2 linked regions of the Bombyx mori genome follow. The protein of the gene in region 1 interacts with the protein of each later gene in a pairwise test. Links are inferred from orthologs where the notes say so. Each region holds a gene or a part of one and is shown on either strand. Other genes may lie near its edges. The genes, in order: armadillo segment polarity protein and tax1-binding protein 3 homolog.

Region 1 (4,048 bases):
ACCATCATGGCAGCTTGGGATACTACTACTTGATCTTCATCATTCAGTAGCTTTATCAACTCTGGAATAGCTCTGAAACAAATTTAAAATCAATAGGAATAGAACAAATGAATAATAATAGTGTAATGTTTTTTTTTTCATGCTTGTTGCCTGATGATCTGATAGAATATCTGGTGTTAGGCTATTATATTACATAATTATACCTGGTAGCTAAATCAGCATCATCTTGATAATTGATGAGGTTCACCACAGCATGCTTTAACATCTGGGAAGGTTCAGCTAAACGCTGGACAGCAGTTGGTTGAGCGGGATCCAGCTGTGTCGATGGAATTTCAATTCCTTCCTCCAGCGTTTCAGGAAACATAGCCGCACGGACTCTTTGAGATCTAGTTTGAGAAAGCTGTTGATTCATATCTGAAAGTAAAGCATATGATATTGAATACAACAATCCAAACAGCTTGTATTGTCATAAGAATTTTTGTGTAAAATTATTTCTATATTGTACATTCAAACGTTTCTAAATGAAATGGGGAAACAACTCACCATCAACTTGTTCTTGAGTGAATCCCTGAGCAAAACCCTGATCAAGGTCAAACATAAGTTGGTCACCTTCCATCTCATCATCTTCCTTGCCAGTTAGTGATGGAACCTGAAGAGAATCATACATTTAACTAAAATAAATTGATGTGACTATTCAAAAAGGTAGGAGTCATCTGATTATCACTCTCAGTCAAGTTACAAAGGTATGGTTATGTATTCTCATAAAAAATCTTTTGTACTTTTGGGAATAAAAAATATTTTTTAAATATCAAATAAAAGTTAGCAATTATCACTATAGCTGATCTTTTGTGCATTTTTATGATATTTTATATTACTTTTCGAGCTGTATACTAAGATTTTAGTTTCATCAGTGCTTAAACAACTATTAAGAAGTACACAAGGCTTGACGTGTACTCTAAAAACTAAAATGCAAGAATATCTTCACACTATAATGGATGGTGTTTTGCTCATATTTACTGTCCTTACTTAAAGAACACAGGCCAGATAAAATCAATGAAATACCATAACAGATTTCACTAATGAAAGTACTGCTCAGTTCAATTCAAAATCTATTTAATATGCAGAAGTAATTTTCAAACTGCTAGTTTGTATGGTTCAGTCACGACTAAATGAGACAGAAAATGTTTTTTCTTTTTCTTTAGATCATTCTACGTTTAACAGTTAAAAGTTCCATGATAAAATCAGCAAGGTTTAGAGCACACGTAGTTCAGGTATCTCATATTATGAAGTGTCATCATAATAAAAAATTTAATCAAACTTCATCATTATTTTGTATATTGAATGACTTATGTTGTTGTATTGATAAAGATAGATTTTCAGTTGTGTCCATCCCAAAATTATGTTAAATTAAGAAGACAAGCCGTATTTTATTTTAATCCAATTTTTATAATGAAATAGGACAATATTACTGCTGTATTTTATAATAGACAGTCTGATAACATTACCTGGGTAGCAGCTCCAGAGTTGATTCCAGAGTCCACTAAATAGGAGTTTTGCTGCCACATCAATGTCTGCTGCTCTTTGTTTGGTGCCATTGGCACATCAGAAGCAACATAGCTGCTGTGCGACACTGTAAAATAATGATGTTTTCTCGTTTTTTATTCACACAAAACAGAGAGATATATATATATTTCTGTAGGAATGTAAGGGGTAGTATGGGTTTAATTTCAAGCGAACATAAAGAGAATTAGTAAGTAGTTGCAGGAGCTAAACTTAAACTAAAATAAAGTGGTTACTTTATGCCATTAATGTGAACTCCACGTCTTTTGACAAGAGATTGAAGTTTCAATTATGTTGAATCCTAATCTTGTTATACCTGTATTTTCATTAATTGAAGAACCTTTTTGAGAGTTCTCAAATCATAACAAATTATATTTCAAATTTCCTTTTAATCTAATTTATTTGCAATTTGTTTAAAAATTGTTTTCAAATAAATGAACTGAGAATGTATGATTCAAAATGTAATTTTTTCCCTCAGTTTCAATTCCAATGTTTTCGTGTTTTAGGATTTCTTTTTCTTTTGCTACTTAGCAGAGAATGTACTGAGATACAGAAAAGTTAAAGTTCATTTATAAATTTATCGTTCAAGTAATGCCATATGCATGAGTCACGATAGACACAAACCGATTCATTCAATTGTATCGAAGTAAGTGGTTTGAACAGCGTTCAGTAAGTACTCAAGCTTTTTGAATGGCAATGATATGATAAATTTACATTTACAAAAGAATCAATATAAATTACTTACTTGTGCGACTTTGCGATGATGGAATTTGATAACTCATGATTTAGACGATGCGACGATGCACCCGTCCCCTGTTGTAAAAAATACCATAAAACATGTCTCCGCTTTGTACGTTATCGATCGATTCATAAGAATTAAAGCATGGTTCACATTAGAACTTAATCACATAAACATTTGCATTTATTTAATGCTTCCCACTAGGAAATACTTTTGGAACAGCGGAAAACAAAACAAATAAGTGCACCATGAACTAAATACCGAACACCACACCCGACCCCATAAAATAACTTGTACTGGTCGAGATATTAAGGTGACTAATATCATTATTTAATTAAAATTAATGCGAATAAAACTTACCTTGGCCGTGCAAGCCAAACAGATTAACTGTTTTCACGACTTTTAAATAATTTTTACAAATTAAATGCACAATATCCGACCCACCGTCACTCGATTCATACAACAACATGGCGGAGACTCGTCGAATTTCGTTTACTTTCAAATGCAGCTGACACTAGTATTGCTACTTCGTTCGCTCTAAGGTATTGCATATGCTTTTATCTCATTTTTTCTTCAAAGGCTCGGGGTGCCAACATAAAGTTCAGGGATAAATTGTAAACAATACGATTCGTGGCACGCAGATTTGTATTTTTTTAATGATGCCTAATTGATTTGTAACTTTTTTATACAGCAGATAATAATTTTACATAATTGTTACGTCATATTATTATATTAAATGACCTAGTTTTAAAAAACCTGATGTACCTGAGCCTTGACCACTGAGTCTACTCCCTGTCTGAAGGTACCTGAGGTCTTATTCCAGCTATGCCCGGACGGGTATGATTTTAAGGGATTGACATGAGTTAGACCACGTGACGTTTCGTTAGCATAGGTAATTATTATTTATTATGTCAATTCCTTAAAATTAAATATAATAAATACGGTACTTCTGTATTTACATATCTAATATTCACATTAACGCTAGTACATTCACAGATAATATATGTACTTAATATTTAAGAGCACACTTTGTCTAGATCCCTAGGTCTATATTGGTTACTAGCTAATATTTAAGTTTTTAGATTAAAGGCGGTTGATTTTATCAGGTATCTTTATCAACTTATGTGAAAATATTTCTAGGTACAAAATTATTTCGAAGCAACATAGTAGGCAGAATCCTGCTTCAAGATCAATGCACGAAATAATGTCATACAAGTTCCGTGGCCGTGAATGCGATGGCGATATTACTTTCAGATTTTTTGTTGGCATCAAAAGCAAAAAAATATCGTGGGTTCGATTCCCAGATCAGGTAAACATTAGTGTGATGAACAGATTTGTTTACTATTTGTTTGGATGTTGATATCCGTATAAATGAATGAAAGTATTGAGCCATTTTAAATGTTATAAACGTACTTTTAAAGGTATAGCTATGTATTTATTTATCTAGTTTGGGGCCAACTGAACATGTGTGATTTCTCCGAGCTAATTTTCTTTTTGTTATTTTGTAATCTTACAATTTGTACGAAAAATTTCGTCTTGACCAGCTGGGTAGTTAAAACATGAAAGCGCAACAAACCACCAATCCCACTTTCGCATTGAATAGTATTATTATGGATTGAAATTGCCAAGATCTTCTGCTTATCGGGACTTTTTTCAAAGTTCGTTTAAAAGAAGCACCTGTCAAATCGTAGACTCAAATGGATGATTTGTGCATATTTTTTATGGTATTTCAATAACACCGACCGTTGT
Region 2 (4,402 bases), on another chromosome or scaffold:
AATTAGGTCTATAAAGTTTGTACTGAATTTAACGAAAAGTAAATTAAATATTCATCTACACTGATTTATCACTGCGTAAAATTAATATTTTGTGTTCAAAATTCTTTGCTTGCTTTTCTGGTCTCTTTTGAAACCACTACTAATCAGAGGTCACTAAAAATGTTCTTACAGACTAAAGACAGCTTTGAAATCGAAAAGAAAATCAACTGCGGTCAAGCTGAGGAATTGATAATTCAAGCTGAAAATGAATTAAACCTAGCTAGGAAGATGTTAAATTGGAAGCCGTGGGAACCACTAATGGCTAAGCCTCCTAAAGGTCAATGGGAATGGCCTCCATCTAAAGCTTAATTGTTAATATTATTGTAGCATATGTAGTAAATTATATCATTTAAACTCAATAAAGAAAATTATTAAAAGCAGTGTTTTATAGAAGAATGTTCCTAAGTGTTTTAGAAATATTTAAAATTAGTCACTATTGTTTTAGTATGTAATAAACATGGACTAGAAATCATTCTTTGCATTTGGCAGCCTCTAATTCTTTTATTGAAAGATTGTCAAACTTAAGTTGCTGTTGCAACCTATTTATTTCAATTGATGAATTAGGTAAATAAATCTAGTAACAAACATGATTTGATACACGATGATGATGATTTGATATATAAACAATAAATGAACTGGGTTGGTAAGTCAAACAGGTGTTATTTCAATTAAAAAAAAAGTTTTCACTGTCTTCTATCAGATGTCATGCAGGGAAATATAAAATGAATTCAATACAAAAACATCCAAATGTTTTTAATAATTATATCATACTCTTATCACTTAACATAGAAATATCAATTCATAATAATAAAAAATCCCAATAATAACACTAAACATTTGTTTTATATTATGACGAAATATTTAAGAATAAATTCAATCGTAATTAAAAAGCAGAAAATATTTTGAGAAATAACACAAAATCTTCATAGTTTAAGTGCCATGCACATAATTATCATTCTTTACAGACTGCACTATAAGACTTGTAATATCAATAATAAGGTGTTATTATCAATATTACATATTTAAATATACCTGATGTAGCAACAATCCTCTTTAATAAAACTTAACTTGCATCTCTTAACTGAATTTGTCAGTTTAATGTAAATGCATTGTGTAAATTATTAACTACTGTTAATGGTAACTCCCCAGGCCTGTTTTATGCTGTACAAATATACCGTAAAATGTATTACTTAAATTCAATGAAAGGTTTTTGAGACAGACTGCAAACCCATATCTGCTTAAAACTTAACAGCTAAATTCTTAAATACAAAAATAAATAACAGTATAATAATCACTCATGGTCATAATAATATAATACTTTACTAACTTAGTAGGTACTTCCAATTAGCTGTATGTTTCACACTTAAATTTTTAATTTGCTTATCGTATGTCAAATAAATTTCCTTATAAAATAATAAACTCATAAACAGTGATTTAAAGTTTTTTACACAGATTTGTTTATAAGTAAGATGCCGTATATTATGTAGATGTAACTCCTTTTCTGGCCACAAGCAAGTTAAGAATAGGGTGTTTCTTAATATAACTAACTGCTTTTTTGTGAGTTACCATTGTAAAGTCATAACCATTGCACTGTAGTATTTTATCATGCATTCTTAAACCTGATTTTGCTGCTGGACTTCCTTCATGAACTTCAGTTACATAAATACCCTAAAAAAATTATATATTATTAACTTTTAAATCAAATCTTACAAGACAGAAAAATATTAGTGGCTTTACAGACTTTTAAAGTTTAAAATTTTAATTTAAAATGATACCACATAAATACTACATTATTATCCTATGTTGTTTAATAATTATTTATAATTTTTTTCAGCATCAGAATAACATAAATAAAATATCTTAGAATTGTGTTTTGTTTCATTTCATTTTGTTGTCTTAACAAAAGAGTCCATCTATATTTTGAATATGGGAACAACACTCACGTTATCTGTATATCCCTGGGGGCTCTTACGAAAGTCTTGATCAATGCCTCCTCCTATTTTAAAACCACATTTCATTACTTCTCTTCCATCTGGGTCAACACCAGCCTCTTTTTGTAAAGTTATCGGTATCTATTAAAACGAAAAGTATTAGTTAGTCAAGTAATGAAACTCTGATACGTAAAGTGGGAGTGGTCTGCTAACTTACACTTAGACACTCCATAGCTGTTCCAGCCTGGTGTTGAAATGCCATCTTCGCCATTATGAATAATATTTATGTGTTTACCTTCTAAATTAACAAAATTCTCAAAATGAGCAAATGCTTATGGGAAATAAATATTGGAAATTTTAAGAACGGTACATATACAATATACGAGTAAACTATTCAACTAGATCAACAGTAGGTAACACTGAGAATTAGCATGTGACATAACTGACAAGTGTCATAATTTTTTTTTAGAAACTAGATAGGTACTCAGCGGGATTTTTGATGTACATACTAACTTTATTTCATGCGTATACGACCTTTTAATTACAAAAATAAAAGTGAAAATTGCCTTCTAAAATGGCAGTTTTTGTCTGTACTGTACGTTATTATTAAAGTAAATGAAAGTTAATTTCTAGCAACGAAAGCTTATTTATTTTATCCCATCTATCCTACGGTGCTGTTTTATTTCACCTCTTTCCATTTTATGATATTAAAATCTGTAAGCAATTTCATTTCAATGCATTCAGATCTGTTTTACCTTTTAAAATAATCACAGTTTAAATACTCAATAAATAAAGATTAAGCGATGTGAGCTAGGTTGCCTTTGCTAATTCTATTTAAAGAGATTATTCTGCTTCTGTCTGTACAAAATTGCAATTTGTCAATTTGCATTCGAACTGTAATATTCGAATTCGAAGTCTACTATTACAATTTCTATAATTTCAGATGTCTAATGGAGAATATCGACAAGTATGGCGCATTGTTTTTAGAAATTTCATTAATTCACTTAGACCAAAACAGGTTACTGGAAACAATGTTGGTAAGTGCTAATAAGTTATGAGTTTAGAATTTTCTTTTTTTTCCTACCTAAGCTGATAGCCTTGAGAGGCTATTTCAGCGTAACCTTAACTAGTAGATGAGCTCACGGGGCTCAAACCGGAGTGATGCTAACACTGACGCTAGCAAGAGCAGTGCTTCGCAGAATCTACCACAGGTTAGGTAGGTTACATTTATTTAGAAAAATGATTATCTGCTGCCCATGTTTAGTTCATTTCTGTGTGAACGGAATGAAATTAAAGGACATTAAAGGAATAGCAGTGAATGGATAAACATTTTGTTACAGGTAAAGATTACATAGGTAACACTTATTTTGAAATACCTGCTAGTCCAAGTGAAGGTAAAAGAAAGCCATCACGTTGGTATGATCCACCTAAAGGTCAGGATTTCCAAAATCCAATACCAGCCGAATGGGAGTCCTGGTTGAGAATGAGAAGGTACTTTATGAAGTTCATATTTATGCCCTTAATTAAATTTGCATAAAATGATTTTAACTGGTATGAATAGGTAGCTGAACTAACACATAGACTGTGATTACATAGATCATGTACACAGCATAGAATATATAGATCCAACTGCTTACATTCAAACATGAGGACTTTGATTTCTATCAAAGATACAATTGCATAATGATGGAATACAGATTAATTTAGTTTTTAAATCCTGAATTTGCTACTAAGTTTTAAAGTAAAAATACATAACGAGCTGCCTTGGTTTTGCACTGGAGCATCACCATATTGTGTTAGGTGCTTTGCAGTTATTATAAATGTATTATTTATGTTACTTTTTTTGCAAAAAAAGTATGTTAATTTATAGTATTTGGGATAATATTTTATACTTCTTTTAAAAGTGATTAATCCTCTAATCCTTTTAGGGGATAAATTTGAAATATATAAAAATATGTGTACATTTATTATTAACTCAAGACAACTATAGAAGCAAGTATATGAAATTTTATGCCTTTTAGTATGAAAATGATTGAGTTCCATTCAACCGTTGATCCTTTATGTCTTGATTACTGACTTTTCATTTGTTGATCCCTTTTCTATGTTAGGGATGATTTTCCAAAATTATAACATAAAAAATTTGGTAAGTAGTCAAAATATCATGTTTGTAGAACGCCAGCTGTTTAGGCTGTGAGTTAATGATTTACTCAGTAAGGAACAGTATATAAAGATATAAGTTATAAGGTAAATAAAGATGTATTTAAAAAATTAGTATTTTATGACGTATTTTTTTGGACAATTTAGAAAAGAACCACCATCAGAAGAGGAAATAGCAAAAAATGTTGCTATAGCCCAAATAAAGAAGGAGAATGCTGCTAAAATTGAAATGAAGAGGCTTGCAGAGGGCGGATCTCTCCCGGCAGTTCCAGAGA

The links.
Region 2: the proteins of armadillo segment polarity protein (region 1) and tax1-binding protein 3 homolog interact in a two-hybrid assay, tested with the Caenorhabditis elegans proteins (2 studies listed by BioGRID). The link is inferred for Bombyx mori from reciprocal best matches to the Caenorhabditis elegans genes hmp-2 and txbp-3.

What each region holds. Positions count from the first base shown.
Region 1 is NC_085116.1:12,303,133-12,307,180, reverse strand, and holds the start of armadillo segment polarity protein, read right to left. Parts: upstream 2,801-4,048; 5' UTR 2,660-2,800; intron 2,613-2,659; exon of another isoform or gene 2,416-2,612; intron 2,374-2,415; 5' UTR 2,343-2,373; coding exon 2,306-2,342; intron 2,234-2,305; exon of another isoform or gene 2,066-2,233; intron 1,631-2,065; coding exon 1,506-1,630; intron 650-1,505; coding exon 544-649; intron 415-543; coding exon 204-414; intron 73-203; coding exon 1-72. Other genes in the region: uncharacterized protein LOC101744306, read left to right, coding at 4,001-4,048. UniProt on the Caenorhabditis elegans protein: Required for cell migration during body enclosure and cell shape changes during body elongation. Plays a role in recruitment of the cadherin protein hmr-1 to adherens junctions.
Region 2 is NC_085111.1:14,179,566-14,183,967, forward strand, and holds tax1-binding protein 3 homolog, read right to left. Parts: upstream 2,673-4,402; 5' UTR 2,242-2,672; coding exon 2,188-2,241; intron 2,112-2,187; coding exon 1,983-2,111; intron 1,708-1,982; coding exon 1,519-1,707; 3' UTR 767-1,518; downstream 1-766. Other genes in the region: NADH dehydrogenase [ubiquinone] 1 alpha subcomplex assembly factor 2, read left to right, coding at 2,914-3,007, 3,311-3,461, 4,275-4,402. UniProt on the Caenorhabditis elegans protein: May regulate a number of protein-protein interactions by competing for PDZ domain binding sites.